Rhinolophus ferrumequinum: one gene and its partner. The protein of the gene in region 1 interacts with the protein of each later gene in a pairwise test. Links are inferred from orthologs where the notes say so. Each region holds a gene or a part of one and is shown on either strand. Other genes may lie near its edges. The genes, in order: CDH1 and CBLL1.

The links.
Region 2: the proteins of CDH1 (region 1) and CBLL1 interact in a two-hybrid assay, tested with the Homo sapiens proteins (2 studies listed by BioGRID, with this or other methods). The link is inferred for Rhinolophus ferrumequinum from reciprocal best matches to the Homo sapiens genes CDH1 and CBLL1.

Annotation. Positions count from the first base shown.
Region 1 is NC_046298.1:18,069,112-18,085,177, reverse strand, and holds the start of CDH1 (cadherin-1), read right to left. Parts: upstream 6,829-16,066; 5' UTR 6,707-6,828; coding exon 6,653-6,706; intron 5,774-6,652; coding exon 5,659-5,773; intron 1-5,658.
Region 2 is NC_046303.1:50,830,514-50,846,860, forward strand, and holds the start of CBLL1 (E3 ubiquitin-protein ligase Hakai), read left to right. Parts: upstream 1-10,492; 5' UTR 10,493-10,715; coding exon 10,716-10,764; intron 10,765-10,814; exon of another isoform or gene 10,815-11,768; coding exon of another isoform or gene 11,769-11,781; intron 11,782-16,347. UniProt on the Homo sapiens protein: E3 ubiquitin-protein ligase that mediates ubiquitination of several tyrosine-phosphorylated Src substrates, including CDH1, CTTN and DOK1. Targets CDH1 for endocytosis and degradation.

The DNA of each region.
Region 1 (16,066 bases):
TGAGATGGAAAGGAGAGTTTTTCCCTTTTAAACCAAGTGCATGATTTGCCTACTTAAATAGAAAGAGAAACTCTATTACCATGTTTCCCCGAAAATAAGACCTAATCGGAAAATAAGCCCTAGAATGATTTTTCAGGATGACATCCCCTGAACATAAGCCCTAATGTGTCTTTTGGAGCAAAAATTAATATTAAGACCCGGTCTTATTTTCAGGGAAACACCTGTAGGCTGAAGTCCAAGGCTGAGCCCTGGCCTACAGAGGTACCCCTCCTCCTATAAGCAACCTTCCCTTGTTCCAGAAGGCACAGTGCCAGGCTGACTCCACTATGCCCTGCTACACTTCTGGGCACCCCATTTCCTCTTCCTAGAGAGTCCTTTCCCCTTCTCTGCCCAGCTGACATTATACCTTCTCATTCACCAAGGCCTAGCAGGTAAAACCGCTCCCACCCCAGGGACAACTCAGAGTGTACTAGAATTAATCACTGGGCACTTTAGTTCATAGAGTTTCTGGAATTTCCCTGAGGGCAGGAGCTGGGTCTTAAGCTAGTGGAGAGAAGTTTGTGCACTGGCTATTTCTCTCTAGACCCCCCTATTCCCACCCCATGCACGCTCCACTTTGTCCCATAGAGCTCTCTTTCGTTGGCATGGCAGAACAACCAGCCTTACCCCCGCTTCTCCATGAAGGGTGCCCTTGGATCCCTGGCCTCAGGGTGACAACCAGATACCCACACCCTGGCTGGCACCATGTATTTACGCATTATACATCTGTGACCTAGCTGCTCGAGCTGTCCATTACCACGTCCAGAACCCCACCCTCAGTGAATTAGCGGCAGGAATACAAATCTGTGTTTTTGAAGTACCCCAAGTGATTCGATGCTTAGAAATGTGAGTGACCCAGTCCCAGGGGTTGAGGCAGAGCATTTTGGCAATGGAAAATCAGACCGGTATCCTTAAGCATGTGCATTATGAAATACTTTTAAAAACCAAACAGAAGCTGAAACATTTAAGGTCATCCTGACTTCCCCACCTTTGGTTGCTCCTTGTCCATTCCTCCCACAATTCTAAACAATGTTTATGAACAGGTCCACAGGCAAACCCACGTCGGCCCACCCTAAACACACTGCACAGTGGCAAGCAAGAAAATACCAGAATTTCCTTTCCTAGCAAAGAGTACTATGGTATAGTCACTGTTTGCACAGTAGTGTTTGCTTTAACACAGAAGCAGAGAGAGTGAGGAAACTGGTTTGGCTGGTTTGCTGGGCGGGATAGAACACAGGGAGGGAGCAAGCACAGGTAAACTTTTGAACCAAACGGTAAGAAGGCTCCAAATATGCCAGGGGCTTTAACGTTTAATATTCATTGAGCACTTGACATACCCTATGACTTGGGTACTATTCTGCCCATTTTACAGATGGCAAAACTGAGGTTTTGAAAGTCCTTGGCCAGTATTCTTCAGCTGGCAAGGGACATTACCTGTATTTCAATCTACGCAGTCTGACTCAAGAACCTTCTAAACATTGGGAAGATGCCACCTGGGCCTTGGGGGAATGTGGAGGACTGGAGGTAGATTAAGAAGGGAAGAGGAAAACTGCAGAAAGAGAGGGAATCTAAAGCCCTCCCAACAGTAACAAGCATAAGCTGAGAATATAAATGGGAAACTTAGAAACAGAGAGGAAAACAGAAAGGGCACCACAAATTTCTTTTTAATTGACCAAAGATGAAAAACACTAACTGACTAACTGCTCTTCCATTTCCAGATTCGGATGTGAGGTCTCCTTTCTCTGCCCTCTGCAGCTTTCAGAGGGAAGCACTCAGTACACTGAGTTCCTGGGACACACTTATTGCCCCATTCCAAAAGCCACAGACCCAACTCTTCCCTGCCCATTTATAGTCAACGTCTAAGGCTGGCCTGAGGCCAGAGTAGGAAAAAGATAAGCCAAGGTATGAGGAATAGTAAATATTTATTCATTCATTCATTAATGTGTTCAAAATGATATCTGAGTGCTTACTCTGTCCTTAAGAAATTCGAGCCACCATGTAGTGACTCTATCTTATTTCTTTATATCTGTCCCACTTGCCTTAACATTCAGCCTACATCCGCTTTATTCATTACTGTAGTCCCAGCGGCTAGCCCAGTTCTGGCACTCAGTAGGCACTCACATATGTTGACTAAATGAATGAATGAATATGCACATTTAACAACAAACCTGTAAGTATTACTGCCTCCCATTTTACACATGGGGAAACTGAGGCTCATAAGCAGTAAAGTGATTTACCCAAGGCCACACAGCTAGTAGCTGAAATCCAAACCTGGATCTTTCAGGTGCTTACTCACAGAACTATCCTGATCAGCCATATTGATTTCATTCCTCTCCTTGAAAGCCTAAAGCCCTGAGAGGAGATGGGAGTTGAGGCAGAGTGGAAACCCAGAAAGTCTGGATTGTGACAGGTGCCTCTCGGGGACTTTAGGGCTTTGGCAGCTTCTGGGAGATGTGAAAGCTGATTGCTTCAGCGTCTGGCTTATCTGGGGCTACGCTTGGAAGGGAATGTGTAACAGACACCAAGGTGAGCATTTCGGAAGAAAAGCCTTGCTCAATAAAAAGCCCCGGAGAGCAAACAAGGATTTCCATCACCACCTGGCAGAGAGGTAGGGCAGGAGCAGCAGCCAGCCTTCCTTAAATGGCCTTGCAGGGCTCGACTCCTTGTGGGACACAAAGGCCGGGTCAGGATGACCCAGTAGTCTCCTTCCCCAGTGAGCTCGGCATAACCCTTGTCACAGAAGTGAGTAATCGGGGAAGCAGTGGTTCAGAGTTTGAGCAGTGGGGGAGTGGGGATCTGATGATGTAAGGTCATCCCAAAGCTGTTTTCCGTGTTTGTTTTGTTTTTTAAAGCCCAGTTTAATTAGGGGGCAAATACTTGTTTCCACCACCTTTCAGCACATCATTTAGAAAGAAGGGGAAATGGGTGTATTTAATCCTCACAGGTGGGTTCCTGTGAGCTAGATCAATCCATCAAGCAGCCAGAGCTCAGACCCAAAATATAAGCTCGGTTTGCCCAAGGCCAGGTGGCAGAGGCAGTAAAGCAAGGAAACCATGGGTTTCAAAGCCTGCTGCCCTTTTTTCCCACCACCCTCCACAGTCAACTTAAAATTGAGTGCAATATATGAGATGCGAAACTGTCTAATAGCCTGGGTTGCTCAAACCAGTTTGTACTGAGAAAAAGGAAAATAATCAGAAACTGAAGATGTTTTTGTTTTTAAAACATTCTCTGTTCTAGAACCTGGAAAAAAACCAACGCGGTAAATACAGGAATCTCACGGAGCACAGGAATGACCCCAGCAAACTACCCCAAGGTCCCTGAATTCAGCCAAATCCTATTTGTGACACTCTATGGTCACTGGTGGACAAAAAGTGACAGGTTCCTTGTTTTCAAACTCCCATGCAGCAAATTCTCCACAGAGCCAATGTTTAAACCCGGTACTAATGTGGCATACCTCCATCTTTCTGGACTGTCCAAAGAGAGTAAGGTCGCTTCCCCCAGAGGTTGCCTGTGTGATTTTACCAGACGGATACTTCCGTCCTGTGGCAATTCCACACTGGATTGGTTGAAGGCGACCCTGTAGTCCAAATAGCCCTCCAAAAGTGAAATGTCAGAAAATCACTGAGTGGGTGTGGGTCTGTGGACATAAAGGGAACGGGAACCGGTCACACAAGCAGTTTCTGGAGACCGCGTCTCCAACCAAGACCACCAGTTGCAGGCCCCCCCCCACCTCCCACCTGGCCTGACCCATCTCCATCACCACCACCTCCTCCTTGGGGTCCTGCCCTGTCGACACCTCTGCTCTTCCAGACATACAGGGAGGAAGACATCTATTTCACAATGGACACCAATTCCCCAGGCAGCCTCTTTTTTTTTTTTTTTTTTTTTTGAGATTACTGAGGAGGGGAGAAAGCAGGAGAAAGACCAGCTGTGGTTCCCTGAGCAACTTACTAAATTGCTTTATGCTTCAGTTTCCTCATCTGCAAAATAGAAATAACAATGGTGCCCACCCTTATAAGGTTCTTGGGAAGATTAAATAAGGTAAAATATGTGACGCACTTGCCCCAGCGTCCAGTTCAAAAGCGAATAATGGTAATAATTATATTATTAATAGGTAATACGATTATTGGTCAGATGTAAAAGCTTGGGTGTGGGGGATAAAAACCGGACTAACTCTCCCTTGGTGCTACCAAATGCCTTGGCGCAGGAAAACAAGAGTGACCAGCACTTGTGTGGGGACACTCCCATTTCTAACCCCTGACCTGCTCTTCAAAGGTGGGTCAACTTTTTATCCTCCCAGAAGCCAATCTTCACAGCCCACTGATACCCATTCAAAACATCCCAAATACCTAACTGCCCATGTCCCACTATGCCCTTGAAGTGAGTCCTAGAACATTCTCAGCAACCTGCCAGAACATGCAATACCGAGGGCAGGACTGGAATGTCCCTGTATGTCAGTTCATTCCCAAGTGCCCAGCACAGGGCCGGGCAGAACATCAAGAGAGAGGCCAAAGAACGGTGGACCCACTGCAAAATCAGGCAGACAACACTTCCTTTCTGACCCAACAGAAAGCTCCACACAACACAGGCCTCAGAAAAGCAAACGTTTAATCAATCAAGGTTCAGTTTCTGTTTTTAAAAAAAAAAAAAAAAAAGCCGCCCACTGTTAGAACTTCCAGAGTTGGAAAACATTTTTCAGACAATAGTGTGATTGGAACAGATTTTTCACGTGGCCAAAGACTGGAAGAATACACAGTGAATTCCCTCAGGGAAATAGTGGGTGATTTTTTTATTTGTTTGTTTCGCAAGTGTTTCCTTTATTGTTATGATAACTCGCTCAATCAACTAAAATCAAAAGGGAGGAGAAAGTGGTTTGGTAGGAAATAAGCACCTGGGAATCAGTGAAACCAGAAAAGAAACCAACCTGCCCTTGCCCTCACTCCTGGGCCACAGTGAAGTAAAACAAAGCAAACTCTAGAATTCTGATTATCACAGCGATAAGGCCCAGAAGTACATTTGTGTTACGTTTTCATTCCCTGAGTCAGAGCTACCAGGTTTTTTTTAAAAACTATTATTCCTTTGGGAAATAGTACCTGTATCAAAATGTTGTCATCTCTATGAGCAAAAGCCAGAGCCTGATAACTGAGAGGGCTCCTCAGTCATCCCAGAGTTGTTGCAGAATGGGGCCTGGGAGAGATGCTAGTGCAAATTCCCACGAAACTGACCCTGAGCAAGTGGACTCCACCCTCTGAGCCTTCCTTTGCTCATCTGTTAAATAAGAATTACCACTTCCCTCCTGCCCTTCCCACATATTAGGTTTGTGCAGTCTGAAACGACAACCTCTAACGTGGTCAGGACACTAGGAAACACACTGAAGGCTCTAATAAGCATCCTCCCCCCCCCAACATAATTAACCGCACCAGGATAGCCCCTTCAACCACAGTGCTCAATCATGATAAAGTTTAGATTCCTACATGTGTGTAAATTCTAAAGGTGTCATTTGAACCACGGAAGAAGGGGCTTGCCCAATCCAGCCCAGGGGAATGGGAGCACAATTTCTCGGATCCTTCCCACTCCCTCCCACCACCCGGCTCCGGGACCCCGGCGGCGCGCCCTCACCTCTGCCCAAGAGTCGGCCTCTCTCCAAGTGCCGCCGGGGCACCGTGAACGTGTAACTTTCAGCGCCAAAGCCAGGACGGCAGGGCTCTGGCTCCTGGCAGAACCATGATGAGACCTGGGGTAGGGGAAAGGTATGGAACCGGGGTGACCTGGGGGGTCCCTCCCAGCCCACACCGAAACCGACAACACCGCTCCTCCCTAGCTCCCGGCGTCGAGATTGTGGGAGGGACCCACCTCCACTCCCCTCCACCCCGTCGGCAGGCAGCCACGCCAAACTCAATCTGAGACCTGCGGCAGCCAAGCCCCCAGGAACGCCGGGGAGAGGAGCCTGCTGGGTCACCTCCTTTCGACCTAGCACCCCATTTCCTTCCCGTCTCCTTTTCCGTTTCACTGGAGCTATCTTTATTCTTCCCAATTCCCCTTTCCTTACACCGGGAACGTTCCCACTCCTAAATCTAGTTCCTCATACCGAAGGCGCTCCAACACCTTTTGACCCCACTTTCTTATCCCGAGGGCGCCCCCATACCTATTTACTACCTTTTCTTTACCTGGTAGTTACCTTTATTTCTATTCCCCTTTCCTTACTTCAGGGATCGTCCCCACTACTTCTGGCTCTCCCTGGACTTGCACCCGTGCTCCCCTTTTCCCCATCCCGACCGCCACCCTGCGCCACCGACTGCCCATACCGCGGCCAACCCGGAGTCCCTAGAGCCTGCAGCGAGGCGCGCCCCCACCTCAGGTCCCCTCGGGGCACTGAGCAAACCGCGCTAGTTCCTCACCCGCTCCCGCTCCCACTCCCATCTCCGCTGAGTCCAGAGCGCCACGCAGCTTCCAGGCCGCTCAGGCTCTTTGGACCCAAACTTTCTTGGAAGAAAAGGGAGCGCGGACGACAGGAGAGAGGAAGGGAGGACAAGAGAGGAAGGAACTTAGGGGCCGGGTCGCGGAAGGTGGGGCCGGAAGGCGTCCCCCGCAAAGCCAGAGGGACACGACGTACCTGCAGCAGTAGCAGCAGCAGGAGCGCGGACAGGCAGCGACACGGAGGGCCCATGGCGGGCCGAGCGCGGGTCGGGTCGGGTCCGGCGGAGCTGGACGGGGCTGGTCTGGCAGAAGTTCCGCGAACACACAGGTGCTTTGCGGCTCTGGACGCCAGTGAGGGGGGCAGCGCCTCAGCCGCCAGGTGAGCCTCGAAGGCCCCGCCCCCGGCCCCGCTGATTGGCTGAGGATGCACCTGCCGGCTGCAGCCAATGAACGATGCGGCTCGGTCCCAGCTTCCTCTGCAGGCAGGGAATGAACGGCCCGCCCCCGATCCCGCCCCGCTGCCTCGCGACCCGGCAACCCGCAGGCGCAGCGGTTGTTAGAATCAGGGTTGCGTGCAGGGGCTCCAGGATTTCGATTACCACCAGGTTCGCGTCCCGGCCTCGCGGTGGGTGCACACTAGCACCTGGGCTTTATCCTTTATCTAGTTCTTTTTAACTGCAGCTCTCCACCGGTTTGTGAGTCTGCAAATCAGTTCATTGGGCAGCACCCACCTTTCTAAGCCTGTTTCTCCATCTTCCAAATGAGATTAATCACAAATGCCTCCCTAAATTGTTGTGACGTTGACATACAATTAAAAGACCAATATTTCCTCACCATAAAAGCTCTGTACAGATGTGAATGATGATAGTAACAATAGATGCTGGGCATTGCAAGTTACTGTACCACGCTCTGTGCTAAGCATTTGACATTGGCCATCTCATTTAATCTCGCCTCCAAACAACCCAAGAGCTTTGTTATTAAACCCATTTGATAGACAGACAACTGAGGCATAAAGAATTTGAGGCCAGTAGGAAATGCTGGAGGGCAGGAACCCAACCTCCTGATTCCAGGGCCATTTCTTCTATTAGCTTCACCTCATGTGGCCCTGGATAGTCTTCAAGCTGCAGCTGTAGTTTTCAATCTGTCCTGTAAATGGTGACCTGCCAGAGACCCTTTAGAGATCATTCAAACGTATTATTTGCAAATAACTATCAATGTCCCATAGCAAGTCAACGTCAAAGCCAAGACTAGAACCCAAGATCTCCTGATCCCCAGACTGGGGCTCTTACCACACCATAGCCACCACTTCCTTTTCTAGAGAATTCTATCCCCAGTAAAATAATTTTAGGATCCAAAACAAAAAAAAAAAGGTATGCAAATGTTAGGTCGGACATCATCCCTGTCTGACTGCCAGGGGCCAGCCGCATCTATGTGTTTTGCCTACCCTGACAAGGATACCATCTTTCCCTTCACTCCGCAAGCATGGTCGGAACTGCAAAACAGTGTGTGGAGTCAGCTGCTCACTAGCTGTGACCTTGGGCAAGTCCATGTTATCATCAGTACAAATGTGTTGAGAGGAGCTGATGCAAGAAAGTCACTAAACGGAGTACTTGGCATCTAGTAGCAACTAACTGCTCAATAGATGTTTAATGTGGAGGTCGTTCTTTGGAAACGACTACCTCCTTTCCCCTTCCTCATGGGGAAAGGTCATGTTTAGAATATTCCATCCAGAGCTAAAGGTAAATCTGAGTCCACTGAAGCTACTTTCTCAACCCCAGAGGAGAGGCGGTGTCTCAAACCAAGACACTATTTCGGGTCAGCTCTGCCCCTCCCCCCTAACCTGTCCCTTCAGTTTTAATGGGTTTCTGAGCACACGCCCAGACCATTTAGATTTCTGCATCTTGTCTTTCTCTGCCTCTTAACCCACCAGGAGGCTCAAAGGGAAAAGGCTCCAGTATTTCCTTTCCCACTGAGGCTCCTGCTGGACTGTGCATTAAACAAGATAATGGAAATACAGAAAGAGGCGTTTCCCCCATGGGGCAGCCTTGTCCGTTTATTTTTTTTCTCCCAGTTATGTAAAAATACATATTTTATACCATCGCTCATCCCAGGGAGCCTTTAGGGCTTTGCTTTCCTCCGTCCAGCAAGCCCTAGCCTTGTAACTCCGCAGCGACTCTCATCGACTCTTCCATTACACTCTGATAATTCAATAAAAAGGATTTTAGAAAACAATTAGGGGCAGTGAGGACAGGTTGGGAGAGACGTTCTCTTCAGACTTCTCGGCAAGTCCTTCTCTAAGCTCCAGGGATTTGGCCGTGAAGGGCTGCCCTCTTTCAGCTGTCCAGGTGAGGAGGGGACACACAGAGGTGCCCTGTGGAGGTGCGGCATTGTGTGACTGTGGGCCTCAGTTTCCTCTTCCATCAAAAAAAGGAAATGCCAATTCTGAGGATCAAATGAGCAGGCGAAGATGAGCCTGTGCTGCTGATGTTGAGCTCTGCGGCTGATGGCGTTGGGTCTCAGGCTGATGGAGGATTCAAATTCCTGTTCTGCCACTAGCTGGGGAGCATGTCCCTTGACCTCTTCAAGTCTGTTTCCTCATCCATAAAACGGGGATGTTGATAGCATTTAATTCACAAGGTTCTTATAAGTGCCCTAAAGTTAGCTGTTAGCACTCTTGGCTCAGTACATTCCTTTCCTTTACCAGTTCTCAGCAAAATTGTGAGCCCTCCTGAAGCCTCCCCACCCCCAGGCTCTCCATTCCCCACCCCCCACCATCAAAGTCTCTTAGGCTACCTCTGGCCTCTGCTGAGAAAACTTTCACACTGACTGGTTAGTCATTTCAACCCTCCCAGGGTCATCTGCATTTTAAAGAGGGTTCTGAGGTGTGCTTCTTTCAAAGAATGAAAACTCTGGAGCTAGTAAACTTCGCCCAGGGTTCTTAACCTGGTGTCGGTGGATGGACTGAGGGTGGGGGTGGGGGGGTCGTGGAACCCCTGAGATTATATGCAATCTTGTCAGTGCAGGTGCTGAGGTCCAATGCCTTCATTAGCGTCTCAACTGGAGTTAAGAAAAATCAAAACCTTCGAGTTGAGATCTCTTTGAGGGCCCGTCTAATGTTAATGGTAGAATTTCAGGCATCAACAGGAGAAAGAAATGTTCACCAGAGTCCTTGCCAGTTGCCCCTCCAGGTAGATGACAGAGCCCACCACTGGTGCTAACCGGGCATCCACCCTTGGGATGACAAACTCCAGGTTTCTTTATTGCAGGCTGTGTCTCTGATGGACGTTCACTTCCTGGATGTCCCGGCAACTGGTCAGCCAGGGATTAAATGATTAATTCCCTGGTCCCTTTCATCTCCTGGCAAAAGGCGGTAATAATAGTACCCTGACTGGGTGGGGCACCCCTGCCCCAGGCTCTGCTGAGAGGAACCCAACCCCCCAGCCCTGCTGGGAGGAATCCTAGGGAAATTGGAGTTGTTAGGGGTTGTAGCCAGATCAGGCTCACTGCAGTGTTGGGAGAGGAGAATCCATTCTACCTGTTCCTGGGGGCTCCTCACACCTCTGCTGGGCTGGGCTGCCTGCCAACAGGCAGGGGAGGGAACTGGATATTCTGCTTCTGCCCTCTGACAAAATGATGGCAACTGATAGGGGTGCCGCCCTTTATGGCTCAGCCGCTCCCGTCTGCAAAAAAACTGTTTTATTTCAAACACTAAGTAAAGAAAACAGTCAAGTGTATATCATGTGTAGTGTAATGAAACACCATGTATCTATCATCTAGCTCCAACAGTTATTTTTTTGTAATTTACATATTTTTATAATTTGTAAACTTTGTAATTGTACCAAATCTTGTTTCATCGTTTCACCCCTGCATTTTTAAAAAATTAATCCTATTTTTTGAAGAGCTGTGCTAGGTTCACAGAAAATTGGAGAGGAAGGTACAGAGATTTCCTATGTACCCCTTGCCCCACACATACATAGCCTCCCCCCTTCAGAGAGGTACATTTGTTAGAATTGATGAACCTATATTGACACATCATAATCACCCAAAGTGCATAGTTTACATTACGATTCATTCTTGATGTTGTACATTCTATAGATTTGGACAAACGTATGACATGTATCCACCATTACAGTGCCAACAGAGTCTCTTCACTACCCTAAAAATCCTCTCTGCTCCACCTGCCTGTTCATCCCTCCCGCCCCCCCGACTCACGTAAACCTCTGATCTTTTTACTGTGGCCATACTTTTGCCTTTTCCAGAATGCCATAGCGTTGGAATCATAAGGTATGTAGACTTTTCACTTAGTAGTATGCATTTAAGTTTCCGCCACGTCTTTTCGTGACTTGATAGCTCATTACTTTCCAAAGCATCATATCAGGAAGCAAGGAATTGTCTGGTTGACTCTATTAGAATAACTAAGTTTCAGTTGGTGTCAACTGATCCCTCCATTATCAAGTTCTCCACCAGCCTTTCACCTTGTGGTTTTAGTACCGCAGATGATGGCTGTCCAGATCCATTAGCTCACTGGGCAAACAACAAACATTTATTAAGCACCTCCATGGGCCAGGCACCCTGCTTAACACTGGGGACACCGAAATAAAATATGGTCCCTGCCCTTAAGCAGCTCATAGGTAGTGAGAGATGCAGACAGGTAAACATTCACCCATTTATTTATTAAATATTATCAATTGCAGACTATGTAACAGGCATTGTGCTAAATACCAGTAATTGCAATATACTGTGTAATAAAAATGATAGCTACCATTTATTGGAGCTTACCATACTCTATATGGCTTCTCAAGAGTCCTCATACAGCCCTTTGAGTGCTATTACTACAACCATTTTACAGATTTGGAAGCAGGGGCTCAGAGAGGTAAAGAGATTTGTCCAGGGTAACACAGTAAAAGTGACAGAATTGGAATTTGAACCCAGGGCCACTGGCCTCCAAAGACTCTTAATCTCCATGTTATACTGCTAAGGTCAGAGCAGGCTTTTATTTCCAGATGCCAATTTGAACTGAGAGGCAAACTGCTTCACTTAGCAAGAAATGGTCTGTCCAGTTGACCTGAAATTGCAGACTCCAAGGCAGCCAAGAGAAGGTGACAGGAGCACAGGCTGAGATGCTATTGTTCAGCCAGGCTGGAGCTTCCAGTATAGCAAGGGGTGCGGTGGGGAGTGCTGATGAGAGCTGGAACCAGGGGGGCAGGCCCTGGGCTGGACCATTTGGTCCTCCAGCCGACAGAGCAGAAGGTACTTTTGCCCATTTTCCAGAGGAGGGGACTGAGGCTCAGATCGATGAACAGCCAGGTCATGGCAGAGGTAGTGTGGAGGCCGGTGCTCAGGTCCAAGGCCAGTATAGTTAAACAGTTCCCAGCATGGACAGTGGTGCCTCACTGCCTGGGTCTTAATCCTGCTCCTCCACTTGCTAGTTCTAAGCTTTTGAACAAGTCACTTAAACCCTCTTTGGACCTCAATTGCCTCATCTGTACAAATGGGGATAATAATAGCACCTACATTGTTGCATGATTTCCAGAATTAAGTGAAATAACCTAAGTAAATGCGACAGACACGAAGTGCTAAATAAATATTAACTGTTATTATTTTCACATTCCATGATGCTCAGGGGTTAGGGCTTTCCCTGAGTGGACTCCATGGGCAGCAGGCTCCCTCTGGCCTAACTCACCCTCTGCTAAGCCCACTGAGAGGGGCGGAGCCTGCTGCCATGGAGCTCCACGGCTGACTGAGTGCCTTCTCTTTGCACAGACACCTTTGTACCTGGTGACTCAATAAAGACAGATAAGGTGCTGCAGAATAGCTGTCGGGCCCCACAGATCTGTCGCTTCCTGTTTCCCACCTGTGAGCAGTGACGGTCCCACCCTTCCTCTCAGAGCCAAGGACACTGTCCACAGGGGAAGGGGAGATAAAGCTTACCTCCAGGTTTGACAAGGCCAACCTTCTCCTGGCTCAACAGCCAATGAAATCACTCCCTACCAAATTCAGCCTCTCCCAAGTCAAAGATACTTGGAAACAAAGGGCTTTTACTTTTTATAATCATGATATTGTTTTATTTTCTTAGTTGATGCCCTTGAATCCTTAATGTGAAGGCTTCACAGTTTAATTTCCCTTTAAAAAGGAAATTTGGAGCTAACACAATGTATTTATCAAATTCCAGGAGGTGTCTAGAACACAGGGTAGGGGCTTGATCTCGTGACTTGAAGCAAAATATCTTTCCTTCCCTAAGTCTCAGTTTCCGGTCTGTAAAATGACTCACTTGGTCTGGAAGGATCATTTCGTTTTCTTCTGCCTCTAAAAACTCTTGATTTTGAGCTTCTTGAGAGGGGAACCGTGTCACTGGCCAGGTTCAGATTTCCTTCTCTTAGGGGCCAAGAGTTCTCATGTGAGTAATATTTACGGATTTGTGATGCTGTTTATTGCTTTTCAGTTTTTAGACTCAACCTCCAGACAAAGCACAAAAGACTTATAGTTACAGAAAACAGAAATATGAATAATTATAACTAGTAAAAATTGGGAATTGCTTGAGAAGGAAGCTGAGAAGCTTGATAAGGACCTTATATCCTCATTCTCCAACAGTATTTCTCTGGAGAAGGAAATTTGGGGTGAGTGGTGAGTTCACAATTATTCATTATAACTAATATATGTGATATACGTATACTCCTTTTATTTCAAATATTGTATCTTTAAAAGATAAAGAAAAATCAATAAGGGCAAAAGAAAATTGAAGATACAAGGAATAAAAGAACTAGATATAGCAAAAATAAAAAATTATTAAAAAAAAAAAGTTTGGTCTCTTCCGCCACAAGTGCAAACTTGTTGTAACTATGGTGAGCATTGAACCCTTTCTGGAAATATCTAAAATAGATTGAGGTGGGGTGGGGGTTAGCAAAGCAAAGGAATGAAGTTCTGATACCTGCTACAGCATGGATGACCCTTGAAAACATTGTGCTAAGTGAAAGAAGCCAGACTCAAAAGACCACATATTATATGAGTCCACTTCATGAAATTTCCAGAATAGGCAAATCTATAAAGACAGAAAGTAGATTAGTGGTTGCCTTGGGCTGGTCAGGATTGGGGAGTAGGAAGGAAATTGGGAATGACTGCTAACGTGTATGGGACTTCTTTTAGAGAGCGATGAATATGTCCTAAACTTAGATTGTGGTGAGGCGTGCACAACCTTATGCATATACTAAAAAATACTGAATTGAGTGCTTTAAATGGGTAAATAGTGCAGTTTATGAATTTTATCAGAATAAAGCTATTTTCTTCTTTAAGTGAGGAGGGAGGTCTTGCTAAGAACAGTCTTAGGAGAGGGCTGACTTTTGTAGCCTTATGCTTCCCACTGTTTTTGTTTCACAAATGGCAAAATCTAGAAACTTTTCTTCCATGCACATATATAATTACACAACAAAAACAACAACAGTAACAATGGCTCTCATTTATATAACACTCAGGTGGCACTTTGCCTTTTATGAGCATATGTACCTCTGAGGAAGACATTATCCCATCCTCTTGAGGAAACCGAGAGGTAACATGATTTTCCATGGCTGGGAAGTGGTCGAGCTGTGGCAAACCCACCATGTGCCAGGCCCTGCACTCAGCACGGGCAAGCCAGACATCCATCCGAAGACCACCCATGTCCATGAAGAATGACCCAACCGACCCAGTGCTAGGGTGACCAATCATCCCCACCTGCCAGGGGCAGAGAGGGTTCCTGGAGTGTAGGATTTTCAGTGCTAAAAGCGGGAAAGTCCTGGGAACACTGGGATGAGCTAGTCCCCTTACCAGTCAGTGGGCGGGGTTAACTGTCCTCTCCTGTGCACGAGTGTGTGTGTGTATAGTGTGCTCACCCATCTGTGGGTTCGTGAGAGGAGTGCGTCTTGATCTTCCCAGGTTCAGCAGTGCTCAGTGAAAGTCCAAGTTTTGTAGGAGGGGAGGGTGGAGCTGGCCAGGCTGGAGCCAGAAGGGCAGGTGAAAGGTACATCCTGCAAGGGTGGAAACCTACAGAGCAATAAAACCAGGGCAAAGAGCAAGGTTTCCATCACAAGCCTTGAAGAAAACTCAAGTCCAGACTGAGGATGGGGGGAGCCTATCATTTTCCAGAGTGACTCTCCAACTTTTCATTCACTCACTCATTCATCCATCCATTCATTCGGTAAACACTCTATGGGCACCTAGTGTGTGCCAAGTGCTTTGCTAGTGAGGGAGGAGCCTCCCTGCCCTCAAGGACCTTTTGGTCTGATGGAATAAACAGGCAAGGGAACCAGGTATTTACAATCCAGAGAAATAAGCAAGGAGGCTATTAACAATATTTACCTGGTAGAGCCTGGGCACGGGGCCAATCAAAATGAACACCAGCCATTACGACCAGAGCAGGATCCCCAGGTCCTCTACTGTGCTTCACCCTTTTGTTTGCTGGGTGGTGGGGAGGTTTGGGGTTCATGTGAGAGGCTATAGGTTTGGGGAGCACTTGAGGGGCTCAGGGAAACAGCTGATTACCAACTGATATGGAAATTTTTCAATACAGTATTTTAGCAACTAGAATAGCCATATCAGTGACCCTGGTTGGAGACCAGCCCTGGTGATGATTCGAGATTAACAAGCCATGTGATGGGCAGGCACACGGGGCTCAGGGAAGGCTTCCTGGGGAAAGTGACACCTCAGATGAGTAGCCAGAGTGTTCCTGGCAGAGGGAGGAGGGCTTAGCATTTCGGGTCGTTCAGTCTCGCTGGAAGGAGAGGCAGGAGATTGGACCCAACAGGCAGGTAAGGAACGTGCTGGGGGAGTGGAGGACTGTGTTAATCATGATCAGCAGCTTGGACTGTGTCCTTAGAGAATGGGGAGCATGGGGAGCCACTGCAGGATTTTAATTAAGATCAGGGAGACACTTGATCCAGTCTGCAAATCCCCCAGGGGACAGACACCAAGGAATCTACTTTTCCAAAGACAAGAACTAAGGTTCAGGGAGGTTAAAACACCTGTCAGATGTCATGCAGCTGGACAGATATGGCAGGAACGGAACCGCTCACTTCCAGAGCACCTTCTCCTCCTACCATGTGCAACAGAGGCTGCCCACTTGTTTGGAGCTTTTGAGTTTGCAAAGCACTTCACAGATTACACAGCACTTTCCTACCACGCTCATTTCAGTTCCCAGCACAACACTGTATTACAGGCAGGGATACCATTCCCATTTCACAGCTGAAGAGACTGAAATACAGGGAGGCTACAGGATCTATTAAGTAGTGAAACCTTGACTCAAACTCAAGCCTTAAGACTTGTTATCCAGTGTTCTTTCCCTTCTATGTGGTGTCTTGGCATTTGTATTGGTCACTTGGGTTGTAAATGCCAGAAATACAAGTACCTAAGCAGAAAAAAGGGAATCTGTAGGCTCATGTACTAAAAAGTTCATGGTAGATGGACTTTAGGTATGCATGGTTCCACGTGGTCAAATATGTCATCAGGGGTCTGTCTTGTTCTGTCTTCGCTTTCCTCTATGTTGACTTTCTTTTTAGAGTCTCCTATCAAGGCAGAGACAGGCTCCCAACCTACCAGTTCAGTGATCCCAGCCACAAAGCACTATACTTTTCCAATAGGT
Region 2 (16,347 bases), on another chromosome or scaffold:
ACAGGAGCTTTATGTCTTCACAGTTCTGGAAGCTGGAAGTCTGAGATTTGCGGGGTTAGGTTCTCGTGAGAGCTCTCTACAAGAAGGCAGCCTGGAAGAGTTCTTACCAGAAATGGACCTCAGTGCAAGTACCTTGGTGTCTCTTCTTATAAGGGCACTGATCCTATCATGAGGACCCCGCCCTCACGACCACATCTAACCCCGATTGTCTCCCAAAGGCCCCGTCTCCAAACACCATCACACTGGGGCTTAGGGCTTCATCATATGAAGTTTGGGGGGACACATTCGGTCCATAACACCAGATAGTTTAATTTCTTTTTACATTTATTTTTATTGCAGGGTCTGTCTAGAATTTTTCCAACTTTTCATTATATAGTGTTTTAAACACTAGAAAAGCTGAAAGGATGGGACAATAATACCTGGGTTCACTAATTGCCACAATTGCCTTATCTATGCTATATGCCTATTTAGCTAATTTTTTGTTGTTCAAAGTAGCTTTGTTCAAAGTATGCTGACATCATGATATTCTACCCTTAACTGTATCAGCATGCACCTCCTAACCAAAATACCGTTATTACACTTAAGAAAATAATTCCATTGTATCATCTTCTAGCCAATCTGTATTAAAATTTCCCAATATCTTTTAGAGCTATTTTCCCCTGAATTTGGATCCAATGAAGCTTCAAGCATTGCATTTGGTTGTTACAGCTCTTTAGTCTTGTTCATTTAGAAAAGTCCTCCTACCCTTTTTCCCCCATTACATTGATTTTTTGAAGAGACTAAGGTGTGGTAATGGCACTGTGACTTTATTATCTCTTAGAGATTTATACAGAAATATTTACAAATGAAATGGGTAAAATGCTTTTACAAAAATACAATGCATAATTGATTGTATTATGGCTTCGGATTTAATTTAAACTTCTTACTTGAGTGGAATCAGAAAGTTCATTGATTGCAGAAGTTAACATATTGCTACATGGTCATAATACAGGAAGACATTGTATGTTCATAATTCTAGAACTCTGCCTAAATTTACCATAGTTTTAAACTTATGTTCATTAATGGTTCAGCTCATCAAAATTTATGGATGAAAAATTTTTTAAATTCAAGTTTAAAAATGCAGAAAAATATAAGGATAAAATTGCAAGAATCACTCAAAATGAATCTATCCAGAAATAACGATTATTAACACCAAGTGAATAGTGAGGGGAGCAGAGTTTGCCACCCCAAACCACACCTTTTGGGGTATTACTTTAAGCTGGTGAATTTTAAAAAAAGCACAGGAACCACCGTAGACTTTCCCCCAACTGCCTAAAAGAACTGAGAGGACGCTTCATAGGAAGTAGCACGTGATAGACGGGGAGGAACCCAGCAAGGCCGCTTGATCCTAGTCCTCTGTTTCCCATGGGTACAGACGGCCAGCTAACATTTATTTATCAAACATCTGCTTTTCCATCTCCGTGTGAACTGCCTTCCTCTCCACTGACGACCCAAACCACAAAACCCTGTCCACCTCCATAGCTCAAGATGGCATGTAAGCCTTACCTACTCCCTCTGTCCTCAGATCTCATACTCTTATGAAATCCCCTCATGCACATCTGTAATAAATTTGGCCATTTTCTCCTGTTAATCTGTCTCATATTAATTTATTAGTCCTGTCAGAAGAATTTAGACACAGCATGTCCAGCTTTCTCTCTACAGCTACGTGGGCAGGTAAGCAGCAGTACTTTTACGACAGTAACGCGGTACTTACACTCAATACAAGGCCTTCGTGCCCATTCCTCGACCGGCCTCTGCTCTAGGAGTACTGCAAGGGGATAATCCCGATAGGCTGCATTTCCCTGGCTCCCAGGTCAGCGGCTATCTGGCTGGGGTCAATGAATGGGAGACGGGAGGGCAAGAGAAGGGGAGAATCCAGGGGTAGATTCTTCACAGAAGTTGTGTTTCTTCTGGCCCCGTGTTTCAGGTAACAGTGTTTTCTCCCTTTGTCCCTTCAGGCTAAGGGCTCAGTGTTTCTGGCTCTTACTCTAAGCACTGGGTTACCTCATTGTCATATCTGGCATCTTAGCTCCTCCATTACCTATACGACCAATTTCCTGCATTAAATTCCCTCCCCGAAAATAATCAACGTGGTTTCTAGTTAGACCCTCACTGCTCTATGATAGATGCTATTTTAATCGCAATATTCTACTTTTAATTAATTTTACTTGAATTTGATACAACAAAAGAACATGAGGTAGAAGATTTTTTTCTTTAACATGAAGGATATTACTTTCTAAGAGCACTTTCTAGGTTAAGGAAAGAATTATGAAAACCTCTCAGAAGTTAGAGTTGTTATTCTTAATGTTTTAAACTATTTTTCAATTTTAGACAGTAAATAAAGGTAGATGACTCATGAAAAATTAGTGCTCACATGCTGTCACCTCTCCACAAGTTTTTGGTTACACTATATTTATTTTGTTCAGGTTTATAACCTGAATGGTTCCATTCTGTAACCGTAATTTCCCTAGTTGCTCAGTATTAGTCAAGTTACATATTTAAACCAGTTGTATTTCACTAGAATGTAAGTTTCACACAGGCAAGGTGGATTATTTGCTTTGTTCACTGAGACATTTAAAATGACTACAAGAATGAGGAATTCCTGAGAAAGGGAGACTGGAGATGAATGCTGGGGACTTGTATGTCTGAAAATATCTCTAATCTACACTGAGACATCCAGGATGCTGGTATAGAATTCTAAATTGGAAATCACTTCTCATAATTTGGAAGGTACTGCTCAATTTTCTACCTTCTGCAATGCCTCGCTTCCTTTAGCTCAGCTCCATCCACTAGGGAGACTGCTTTGCCTTAGGCTTTTTTCAAGTTCATTAGTAACATTTTAAAATTTTCTAAAAAAGAAAATCCATTTGAAGTTAATTGGCCATTATGTTTTCTAATGTCCTTTACTCAAGAATAGCTTTTCCTACAACTTGGTACCAGGAAAATGTTTGCATCTCAGGGAAATTTCTATGCTATCTTTTCCGAGACAATAGGAATTAAGTAATCTACTGTGATTCATTTTTTTTGGTCTTGACTGTTAGTGTCCAATTCCATTAAACTCTCATACGATACATTCAATTCATTTGTATCCTCAGATGTTTAATAAATGTGCAGGAAAAGAAAAAAATAAAAATGACTATTGGGGAAACGTGGAAAATGACTAGAAGAGTGTCTGCTACTAATGAATAAGTTACCAGAGTTATTCACTCTTAGTTTTAAATTTTAATCTCTCTCCTTATTGGCTGGGTTTCATTGTCGTATATGTGCGTATGTGGAAACAAACACACACAAAGGGTTTTTTTTCTCACTCAAGAGAAGTTCAGACACGCTATGCTGTTTGAGGTCCTTCTTGTTTGAAGACGTGGGCTGTTGTCTTCTGGCATTAGATGTTCTTTGTTCATTTTTATCGAGTGAACTCTGAATGTTGGTGTTATAAGCTATCACTAATTCTTTACAATCCCAGTGGTCAATGCCCTCCTATCATAATTAGGTTTTTTTTATTGTAAGTTTTATCCATTCGTTTGCCATATTCATTTGTGTGCAGAAGTTTTAAATGTTTCTTTTTTTTTAAAGTTTTGACAGGGCCATATTATCTCTGCTGATGTTCTTCAGTAAGTCAACAAGTATTTTGTGAGCACCTTCTGCTAAATACTTCCATCCTCTGCTAAATACTGTGTATTATACAAACCTGGATGGCCAATGGACCCTGTCCTCAAGGAGCCTGTCTTGTAAAATAAGCATGTTACTACAATATGAAGTAGAGAGCGATGTCTTAAAAGAAACACAGTGCCTGGATGTTCTGAAGGGGCAGTAATTACCAAGAAGAATGAAGGAAATGACCAGTCATTGAAAAGCCTGTTATTTGGCAATGAAGAGTCTTCACAGATGTTGTCTCCTTTGATGATCAGGGCAACTCTGTAAGGAAAGTTATCATTATCCCCATGTACCAACACAGAAATTAAGCTTAATTGACAAATTATGACACAGGAAGAGTTGACATTTGAACCCAGTTCTGCCTGCTTCCAAACCTCATGCTCTTTATCTGTTACATATATTACCTGTTGCAAGAATGAGTCAGAGAAGGCTTGATGGAGAGAATGACATCTGAGGTCTGACCATTAAGTTCACAAACTCATCCTACCCTGTTTCCCTGAAAATAAGACCTAGCCAGACAATCAGCTCTAATGCGTCTTTTGGAGCAAAAATTAACATAAGACCCGGTCTTATTTTACTATAAATAGTAACAGTAAATATATATATTATACTATATATATATAAGACTGGGTCTTATATTAATTTTTGCTCCAAAAGACGCATTAGAGCAGATTGTCCGGCTAGGTCTTATTTTCAGGGAAACACGGTAGAAAAAGTGCTGCATACCTCCTTGCTGAATATCACTACGGTCATCTTTGAAGTACTCCCCTTGGGAAGCTACGCACTGACGCCAGTGCCTAGTCCACCCTTCAAAGCAATTTCGGAACTCTTTTTCTGGAATGGCCATCAGATCTGTCATCATATTACCCTTGATGTCCTGAATGTCATCAAAATGTCTTCCTTTCAATATTTCCTTTATCTTTGGGTAAAGAAAGAAGTCATTGGGGGCCAGACCAGGTGAGTAGGGAGGGTGTTCCAATACAGTTATTTGTTTACTGGCTAAAAACTCCCTCATAGACAGTGCTGTGTGAGCTGATACATTGTCGTGATGCAAGAGCCGTGAACTGTTAGTGAAAAGTTCACGTTGTCTTTTTCACACAGCCTTTTCAGCACTTCCAAGTAGTAAACTTGGTTAACTGTTTGTCCAGTTGATACAAATTCATAACGAACAATCTCTGATATCAAAAAAGGTTAGCAACATCGTTGCAACAAGTTGTTCCCAAACTTAATTATCAGACCTCCTGTGAGCAGGTGTCTTGATGGATACCATGTTTCCCCGAAAATTAAGACCAACCCCAAAAATAAACCTGTTAAGATCGTCAGCCAGACAGACACATTTATAGACACATTTAGTACATTATGACGATGTTCCAGAAGATGACATGACTGTATTTGAATAAATGTAGATTGTAAAATATGTAAAAATAAGACATGTAAAAATAAGACATCCCCTGAAAAGAAGCCCTAATGCGTCTTTTGGAGCAAAAATTAATATAACACCTGGTTTTATTTTGGGGAAATACAGTATAAGACCCAGTCTTATTTTCAGGGAAACATGGTAGGTATGTTTTCAGGTGGAAGTTAAGTATTGCAAATCTATGCGTAGTATTTTCCTCAACTGAGGTATGGGAGGGTATTAAATCTACTGTCAAGAAATGGTTTTTGTTCATTGGGAGACCCAGTTCACAGGTGGTAGCTATTACCAATTGCAGAAAAGAAACTCCAAAAAGACTTGTTCTTGAGTTTCCTGGTATTCTGTCGTACTAGGTATCTATTTTCTTCCTTATCATCCCTTTGCAGTCACACAGGATTAAGTCCTCCCAATGCGAAGATTTATCCTTCCTCTCAGACATTTCTAGAACAGCATAAGCTCTTCAAAACAACATGAGAGATATAAAGCAGTGCTTTTCAAACTTGAATTCCAAGACATTCGTGTACTTTATGACATCTGAGTGAGTCATAACCAGCTTTTTTTTTAAGGGACAGTACAGAAGAAAAACAGCAGAGAACATTATATATGCGGAGGGTAAGTACAGTTTCATGACACTTGTATGTATGTGTATGTGTGTGTTTGTGTTTATGTACTGGGCTACGACATAAAATATATTTCTGATAGTGAGAGACATTTAAACACTAACAGGGCCTATTTACAAACCAAGTATACCAGGAGAGCTGGAAAGCCGTCCTCCAACTGGCATGGAGTGGCCGCTGGGGCCAGGGTCAGCGAGCATGTGGACAACAGCCTTCTCACCTCTAGAAAACAGGTCGCAGACTGCTTGCTTACAAACATGGCATAGCTATAGAGCATTTTAATACCCGAAACATTCGTTCAGGAGTGAACTAAATAGAAATGTAGAGAGAAAAAAAATAAGGCAATTATCTCTTAGCAGAAAGGCTACAGGGAAGAGCAGACCTCTCCAGCTCAGAGGATCCCACTGCAAAACTTTCCTTCTCAGGAAGAAGGCAGGCTGCGGGGCCTCTCCAGACCAAAGGCTCCTGCCCACGGGGGTGTGACGCTGCCTCCGGGCTGCAAAGGGGGGAGTGGAGAAATGCCTTGCTCAGCAACGCACGGTGCTGCAGTCCTCAGCCTCTACTGCCTTCTCATTCCCCGGCTGTCTCTGGTCCACTTTCGTTTTTAAGATTCTTTTACATTAATTTTTCTTTCTTTTTCTTTTTTTTGTATTAGTTTCAGGTTTAAAAACAATGCAACAGTTAGACATTTCACCCCTCACAAAGTGATAACACCCTCCCCCAATCTACTACCCTTCTGACATCGTATGTATCTATTATAATTCCATTGGCTCCATTCCCTGTGCTGTACTCCACATCCCGTGACTATATATATATATATATATATATATGAAATTATAGTTGACATACAGTATTATTGAGCTTTAGTTTCAGGTGTACAGTGCAGTGATCAGGCATCTACACCATCCATGAAGTGGTCTTCCTAATAAGTGCCCATCTGCCACCCTACAAAATCTTTACATTATTGATTTATACCCCACAGCAATATTGTAGTTACCAATTTATGCTGTCTAATCCCTTCCCCTTCTCCATCACCCCCACCTCCTCCCATCCAGCAACCGTCAGTTTTGCCTCTGTATCTCTGAGACTGTTTCTGTTTACTTTGCTCATTCATTCAGTTCTTGTTCCACATGTAAGTGAGATCATCTGGCCCCGTTTTTGATGCTGGTGTTTGGAAAGCCAGCTGCTGTACTTGATAAGGCTTGGCTGTGGGAACACACTGGGGACCAGTGTCAGGAGCTGGTAGGCAGAGGAGGAAGCGGGGCCTGGCGGGGCTGGAGTTAAGCCTGCTAATCCAGTTGGAGAGCAGATCACTCTGCTGACTCCAATATGCAGAAGTCAAAGAGTCTTGGCTAGCTTTTCTCCCCCGGTGCCGAGCTGGGCCTGCAGGCTGTGGTGAGCTATGGACGCGGGTCTCTGTTCCGCAGGATGGGATTTGGTCAAGTTGTCAAAAATAAGGCTTACTTCAAGAGATGACGAGCGGGTAAAACTGATTACTATGCCTGGAAACGCTCGGTAATCCTGGATAAAAATAAGTACCACACACCCAAATACAGAATGAAAGTTCGTGTAACCAACAGAGGTATCATTTGTCAGACTGCTTACACCCGTATAGAAGGAGATATGATAGTTTGTACAGCTTACGCTCATGAACTCCCAAAGTACGGCGTGAAGGTTGGCCTGACAAATTATGCTGCTGCGTACTGTACTGGCCTGCTGCTGGCCTGCAGGCTTCTCAATGGGTCTGGCATGGACAAGCTCTGTGAAGGTCTTGTCCATCAGTCAGGAGGTGACTGGAGATGAATACAATGTGGAAAGCACTGCTGGTCAACCTGGTGCCTTCACCTGCTATTTGGATGCAGGGCTTGCCAGACTGGAAATAGACTGGAAATAGAATTTGGGGGGCCCTGAAGGGAGCTGTGGACAGAGGCTTGTCTGTCCCTCACAGTATCAAACGATTCCCTGGTTATGATTCAGAAAGCAGGGAATTCAGTGCAGAAGTACATGGGAAGCACCTCATGGGTTAGAACGTTGCAGATTATATGTGTCACCTAATGGAAGAAGATGAAGACGCTTACAAGAAGCAATTCTCTCAATACATAAAGAACGATGTGACTCCAGACATGATGGAGGAGTATAAGAAAGCTCATGCTGCTATATGAGAAAGTCCAGTCCATAAGAAGCCTAAGAAGGAAGTTAAAAAGAAGAGGTGGAACTGCCCCTAAATATCTCTTGCTCAGAAGATTTAGTGCAGAAGGCAAGCTTCCTCAGAGCTCAGGAACGGGCTGCTGAGAGTTAATAAACCAAAGAACTGTCCATGAAGATTTTTCATATAAAGACAATAATAAATGTATCTATTAAACAGCTAAAAAAAAAAAGTGTCTTGGTAAACACCAGGCTTGCTTTGTGTGTGCATCAGCAGGCTAACAGGTCCAAAAGGCCTTATTGTCCCTCTTCAAAGCTTACTTCCAATCCATTTTCATAGGCAATTATAATGAAATTGTAGCTAACATTTAACATTCATTTAATAATGTGCCAGCGCACTAGTTATCTCATTTAATCTCCACTATCACGTCAAGAAGCAGTGACTATAGTAACTATCCTGGTAACAATAAGTACCATTTAATGAGGACTCATTGTGTGCCAGAGGGTGATAAGCGCTTTAGACAGGTAACATTCAATTCTCACAACAAACCCCAAGGTAGGCACCATCACCGTCCCCATTTTACAGATGAAGGAAGTCAGCCACAACGATGAGGCATCTGCCTCCAGTGTCACAGCTGGTAGGTGGCAGTGCTGGGTTGGGAACCGTCGTTGGCTCCCAAGTGCATATATCTCCCTACCCTATTCCCCTGTCTTTCCCACGCATTTCTGCTTATGCAACCTGTCAGTGTATATGACACCATCCTGATCAGGTCTTCTCTTCTTAACATCTATCCACACTGTGGGCTTGGCCATCATCGGGTCCCTGGCTGCTTGGTCAGCTGCTCTTCTCCTACATGCATTGGTACTAATTCACCTTCTGCCTGTCCCCCCCACCCCCCCGCCCACATTTAAGATCTGCTCATTGTTTCTGACCATATCTTGCTGAATTATGTTGTTCATCTGACTATACTGTGCTAGGTTTTGTTTATATGCTCTTTCTTAACTATTACTCTGAAATCTTACTTTTCAAGGTTCTCTACAATCATACCTTATTTTATGTTTCACGACTTGCAAACATGGATCAATAGTGCAACTGGAACCGATGACTGTCTTCTATAGAAGCCGTGACAATTCTGACACCCTGTTTGCTGTGCCCCTCACGGCTCTGCTCCCTCAGGCCCAGCTCACGCCCCCCCACACAGCCCCTCTCCCTCACTCCCACCACTCATCTTTGCCTCTGCGTTGTAGGCAGTACTGCATTCCCGCAAACCACGTAGGATTTAATTCTACGTGTTTTTTGTTATTTCTATAACTGCTAGCCTGTGCGGTCCCTAAGGTAGGGACCATTATTTATACAGTTCTTACCTTCTGCTGTCTTAGGCACTACAGTGTGACAGAACTGAAAGAGCATTACGGAGATGACGGTTCTTGTCCTCACCTGGTATTGAGGAGCCTCAAACAAGCTCTTGGAAAACAAGCTGTCTGATACCCATCCTATTTTTCCTGTATCATAAACAGTGCTATGTAAATGGGGGACTATCAAAGCATCTTGAAGAACTGGCTTGTAATTCATAGGCTCGCAGATGGTCTGTCACTAGGATGAAAATGCGCACCTCAGTGCTCCAGATCGTCTATCACGATGTTCCATTTTTATGAACCTTAGGACAGTGCCATGCTATAAAATAAATGTGAATGTGGACTTTCAATAAAGAAATTGTGACATTACAGCACACAAGTCACCAACAATAGCTACCAAGCACAGTAATAAAATCTCAATCTATGTATAGTTTCACTTACCAGTTTAGTTAAGAGATTTACACTGCTGCACTGGTAAAGTGAAGCAACTACAGTTAAGGGAGAAATGAATATAGAGCATAAAGTAATGCATGAAAACAACAGATGTTAAATGAAATAATTCACCAAATGTTTAACATTTTATCAACAGGAAGTCTAAACAGGTGAGTTTTCCCTTAGTAAATTTTCATAACAATGCTGACAAAACTTCTGATTTAGATTATATAAAATAGTTTGAAAGTTCTTTTTTCTTCTAATTCTTTAAATATTAGCATCAGTAGACACTAATATTATTTTAAACCTGGATTTGCATCAATCTAAAGTATGGCCAATAGGCTAAATATGAGGATAGAAAAAATAAAAAGAGTACTTTCTAGGTGAAAACGACCTTTTTTTAAACCCCAAATTGGTGAAAAATGCTCGATCGTATCAACACTGTAAATAGGAAGTATGGGAGGAAGATTAAGCTTCTCCCAGCCTCCAAAACAAAAAATAAGGCCAGCAACTGAAAGCATCTTGAAAACCACATTTTAACAAAAGCAGGGGTAATCTTGATTCACAATTATCCTTCCTTGTGAAGGTCCTTAAAAACTTGTTCATGAAGTTGCAGATATAGTAGTGGGAGTGTCTTTTAAAGGATTCAAGTAAAACACTCACCAAATAACAGGGAACATATTATTCAAAGTTGTTACTGTATATCTATACAGATACAGCACATTGCTACACATACTTTATTTGGAATTCAGTACCATGAAAACATTTCTTGTAAGAGGTCAATGTAATCTCTTATTAATCAAGGAACTCTGGCACTGAAAGCGTGAATAACCCAAGGTAATGATGTCGTCACCAAGGGACGACAAGAATAGAACCCAAATCCCTTGACTCCCCAGCTTGTGTTTTCCACTAATTGTGCTCCTTTCTACCCATCAGAGGGTATCAAACGTAAAAGAGAAGGGAGTGGACACAAATGAGCCAAGCCCGAGAGGTGGAGACCGCACTGAAGGTCCTCAGGAATCACTCTTTGCCACTTTCCGTTGTTTTGGCCTAAGAAGATGAAAGCAGCAGCAGCCACAAACCCCTGGGACCAAGAACTGGAACTAGGTACTGCTTACTGTGGTAACTCTCTCTTCCTCCTTTGAGGCCTTTCCTTTTTAACCTCTCCCTTCCGGCCAGCCCTAACGCTCTCTCCACCTCCCCTCCTTCAGCTCCACGGTGCACTTTATTGACCGGCGTCCCCTAGAAACAGGCGGCTGCGCTGCACTCGCTCTCCACCTGACCCTGCACCCAGTCCTTCGGACATATGTTCTGGCTGTTCCTAGAGGCAGAAGCTTTTAGGCTAGAAAAGGAGTGCTACTCAAGCATTCTAAATGTGTCGCAACTGTTAGAAACTTAAGAGGCGGGAACGGGGACAAATACCAAGTCGGTTGTGCGTGGGTCTATGTAGCTCGTCGCGGCAAAGCGACCTTTAGACAATAAGCACAGCGCCCTTCTCTCTAGCTGGGAGCTTCACACAGCTCACCCATCCCCTGGGCTAGCTCCGCCGGAGGACGCCTAGGGGAGCGCGCGTGTTTACACTTTTCCTAGACCCGGGGAGGGGACAGCCGCTCTGGGACCTGGGGGATTCCAAACCGTTACTCCGCCTGCCGGGGTGGGGCCGCCCAACGGCCGAGCCTGCGCACTGGGCCTGGCCTCTCCAGGGCTCCGGTGCACTTCAAGTCCCAGAAGTCAACGCTCAGCGGGGGCGGGCATCCGCCTACCTGCCGGGAGCTTATCCCTCCAGCTACTACCGCTCTCCCCCTCCCCGGTTCCCGTCCGTCTCCTTTCCAGTCAAAGGCTACTTTCTCTCGAAGCATGTGAGGAGAGGCCGTAGCAACCCCGACATCGAAGGCCTTAGCCTACTCGCTCTTTCTTCCTCAGCCCGAACTATGCCTAATTCGCTTACCGGAGTTGGGTGGTGTGAGCCAGGAAAGGAAGCCCTCGGAAGCCAAAGCCGGGGCAACCTAATGGCACTTCCGCCTCCCGGGCTCCGGAAGGTAGCGCGCACGCGCTCCCTGCGACTCCGGCGCAGTTGACTTCCGTTCCCACTGTGCTCTGCGAGCCGAATCATGGATCACACTGGTAAGGAGGCGGAGGCAGTGGGGGTCCCGGTTCCATGCCCCCTTGGCCGGCCTGGGACTGGTCTCCTAGCGGACATAGAGGGGTTACGCTCGCCCTACATTACTGGGGTGTAGCGGTGAGAAAGAAATCTTACAGACCCCTCCCCCTGCCCGGCAAGGGCCTGCTACTTCCCGGCCTACTCTCCGGTGTGGTACCTCCAGCCGCGGTGCCGGCAACGGCCGCTTATCTGGTTCTGCTGAGCCCCGAGCCGGGACGGCGGGCGGCGCGGGCCTTGTGCGGAGATCTCGCTCTCTCTCTCTCTCTTTCTCTTTCTCATTCTGAGGGCTATGCCCTACATTACGGGAACTAGGGGGAGATTCCCGTTTCGGAGACGGGGAAGCCTTATTACGCTGGGAGTGGATTTGCGAGAGTGGGTTGGAGACGTTCTGCTGTCTCAGGCAGCTTTGGGCGGGTGCTGCGGTGGTCAGCGTCTGTGGTCATTGTCTCTCCCGTCCTTTATGGACTAGAGGTGGGAGAAGGGAGTCGGGTTGGTTTTCGGAATGATGCTCGGAGCAGCTTTTCTATCGAAACCCCGCGCTTCGGCTATGGCCCTTACTCATCATTTGGGGACATTTACAAAGGAGAACTTAAAATCAAGACATTCACATCTCTTTCTCAAAGTAAGGATGGCTCCACTCTTTGTTACGTGTTTTTTTGGTTTAGCTTGCTGGGTTTTTGGATATTGAATGAGTGCACTTGGGATTAGAAAGTGCTTCGTATAGTTACATTAACCACATCGCAAATAGGGAAAAAAGGCGTTTTCCTGTAGTAAGTACTTGTTGGGATGTCCTCAATCATCAAATACCTGTCTATCTGTCTGTCTGTATTTTTCTCTATCTCCAAAACTTGCAGGCCTGGAGATGGAATGGTAAACAAGGCAGAGTTACTGTCATGGAGGTTACGATCTATTGGGGAAGACACAATAAATTTTTTTTAAAGCCCAAATGTTTACAAGTTATGATAAGTTCTTTGAAAACAAACATGCTGTGGTAAAGACTAATACGACGCTTCAGAGAGGGTGGTAGGGAAGGTCTTTCTCTAAAGGTAGCATTAACAACTTGAGATCTGATGGATGAGAAGAATCCAGCCATGGAATAGATCAGGAGGAAAGCATATTCAGCAAGTACAAAGAATGAAGTGGGAAATTAGTCGGCTGCAGCTTAGTTATTAGCAAGAAGGAAAGAGCTCTAATACGAGATTGGAAAGGAGGGCAGGAATCAGGTCGTGCAAGACTTTGAAGGCCATGTTAAAGATTCAAATTTATTTTATGTGCAATATGAAGCCATTGAACAGAAGTAGAAGAGGAGCATAGTATCTTAAAAATATAATAGGTTCTATGGAGAAGGGTGTAAGAGAGGGTGGCAAGAATAATAGAAAATAGACAATTTAGGAGGTAATTGCAGTAAACCAGAAGGCAGGCTTGGCTTAGTGAAGAACCGGAGTGGACAGAGTCAATAAATATTTTGGTGGTGGAACTTAAACCCACACTGATAGATTAGTTTGGAGAAATGTAAGAGAAAGAGAGATGCCTAAGTTACTGGTTTCATCAGCTAGGCAGTGCCTATTACTGAGTTGGGGAAAACTTGGGAGAAAAACATTTTTTAAAGGGGTAAAAGGTGATTGGTGGGCATTTGGGAACAAGATTTTGGACTGCTAAGTATGAAATGTATATTGAGATATGCAAGGAGAGATGTCATGTGGAGATCAGAGAAAGAGGTGGGCTGAAAAATACATATTTGGGACTTAGCATCACATACCTGATATTTTAAGGCAAGAGGATGGACAAGATCACTTAAGGAGAGGGAATACAGAAGAGGGTCTAGAACCAGGCTCTAAGGAACTCTATGTTTGGAAATTTTATAGACTTGAAACTAGGATATTGATGTTAGAGTAGCAGACATCCAACATTAGCGAAATATTTCTTTTTGAGCCTATTAACTGGAAATGGGAGTAAGGCCCCACTCACAGTTTAGAGAATGTTCTTAGGAAATTGTAATATGGGTGGGTGTATACCTGAGTATTTGGTATCCTAGTTCTCTTAAGTTAAAAAAAGTAAGTTAAAAATGTAAAAGTTATCCTAACATGAAAATATTCACTCATGACCTGACCATTTAAAAATTATCTCCTACTCAGATATCTCTGCGGCTTAACACTAGTTTCTTTTCTGTTAGTTAATTTTGTTACATCCTTGATGTTTCATATCAGGAAACTATCAAATGCTGTATATAAATTGTGATTACAAGCTTTACAAAAGATTCAGCTTTTCATGTAATTTATAAAAGTGAATTTGAATAATTATTTAAATAATTATTTGAATCACAGAATCATTGGCAAGTGAGGAAATGCCAGTTAGCCAGTTAATTGAAGACATGACAGGATAGGCATCTCACAGGAATGATTTTAATGTCAAAGGATTAAGAGAAGTCCTTGAGGAAACTGACAAAACCCTCGAATATTATGCAAAAATGACTGATTTTTCTGATCATGTTGAAAAAGTGAAACATATGGAAGGTTAGCCTGTGGTATTCGAATAGAATTTTGCCAGCAAAATCACTCCAAGAAACTGCCAGTTAACACTTGATTTACTTTTTGGTCATTCTAAGAATTAGCACTTAGCTGTCACTGTAATCTAAATTTTCTAAATTATTTTTTGGTTCCTTTAATTCAAGATAAAATTCTAAATATTTTTAAAAATTATATAATAGTGTTATTCCTTTTTAAAGTGGATTCACCTTAAAAGGCCAGTTATATCCTTCGTTCTCTTTCTTTGTAATATCTAAGGACTTTTGTGGTTTTAGTTGGCGTTTTCAAAAGGAAATTGCTGTAATTTCTGATTCTTAAACCAGAAAACCCAAGACAGACCCAGAATTGATGTCATTATTACATGTTGTACTTTGTTGATGGATTTGCAGTCTGTAAGACAGGCGGCAAGGTGTGTAAGGGGCAGCAGGCTCTTGAAAGTTGTGTTGGGTTAAGCAAACAACAGTGGTGATAGTGACTTCAAGTGCTCAGGGTGGTGTGAAAAGGGTTTGGAGTGATGACATGTTGGTATTCTGATCATTCGCCAAGGGAACTCCATTAAGAGTCTCTTTAATATCTGAAGTGCAGCATTGAACTGTTAACTGTCTACAAGAACTTGATTTTTTTTTCTTTAGTCCATTGGAAAATCAGAAATAACTTTAAGCAAAAACCAAAAATTCATTCTATCATACTTGTCTTTTGGCTATTACATTGCTTGTAGGTACTTACGTAAGCAACTAAAGTGAAAGCAGATGAAATACATCCTCAACTTGTTAGTACAGTTAGTGAAGTCTTGAAAATTATCAAGTTGGGTTTGTCTTAATTGATTTTAGCTGTGCATGTCATCCCTTTTCCACGAATTTTGTCTTGAGTATTAGCTATTGTAAAAGCAGTAGTAGAAAGTAGACTGAAAGGTATTTAATTATTCAGGACCCATTTTGAATGATGTTCTGTATATTGTTCAGAAAGAGTGCAAATCATCATGTGAATTTAATGTGTGTTTGTAATCCTGGTCGCTCTGGAGGTCATTAGTACTAGGTTACTACTTCCAGACTTGGCTTTACTGACTTTAATGTAGACAGCTTGGCTCTCAATCTTGGTTGGACTATCTCCCCCAGTAGCAGTTACACAGCCTGTTCAATCACTTGTGATGTTTAAAACATTACTATTTGAAAAAATTATTTTATTTGCATTTCCTCCTTTATGGCATTTCCCTTTCTGTCTTTAGTAGGTAGGTAAAGGTGAAAATTTTCTATATTGTAATATTTTGTCATAGACTTGAAAAAAGGTGACTTTTAAACTTCAGATGGAGTAAGTTCTTTGAAATAATACTATTTATTACTCATGGGCTATCAGTTAATTTATTTCATAGTCAATAACAAGCAGGGACTTAGAAAGTGTAAATTGTTTATACCTAGTTGAAGTACAGAAACTTTGCATCTTCCTAAATTATAATTTTCCGTTACAGTGCTGACTAAAACTAGCAGTCACATGTACATCTAGAAATGTTATTGCGTGTTTGTACTACTAAATGATGTGATAATTTTTACTATGTTCCTAAAATGTTTTTTAGAAAAACTATTTTACACTTAAGGGAATAATCTCCTTCCTTAAAACTAACTTTAATTTCAATGCATTTACTTAGTTTTACCACTGTCAGTGTTAGTTTTGTGTTTTTAGTTTTATTGATTGTCCTGATGTAGAATCAGTTTACTAAATGTATTGAGTGCCTACTTTGCGTGCTTGATGGAGATAGGGATGGTTTCCTTTTTCTTCTCGTCCCTCTTTTTCTTCTTTTAAAAATCTCTTAGTTACTGTATTTTGCCATGTATAATGTGCTCCTGTGTGTAATGCGCACCCATGTTTTTGACCCAAACTTTCAGGGAAAAAAATTTTCTGTTTTAATTTTTTAATTCAAATTTTTATTTGTTTACATTTAGGTACTTGTTTTTTGTATTATAAAGGAATTTTAGCATTTATTTTTTAGCATTATGTTACAAGAAATTT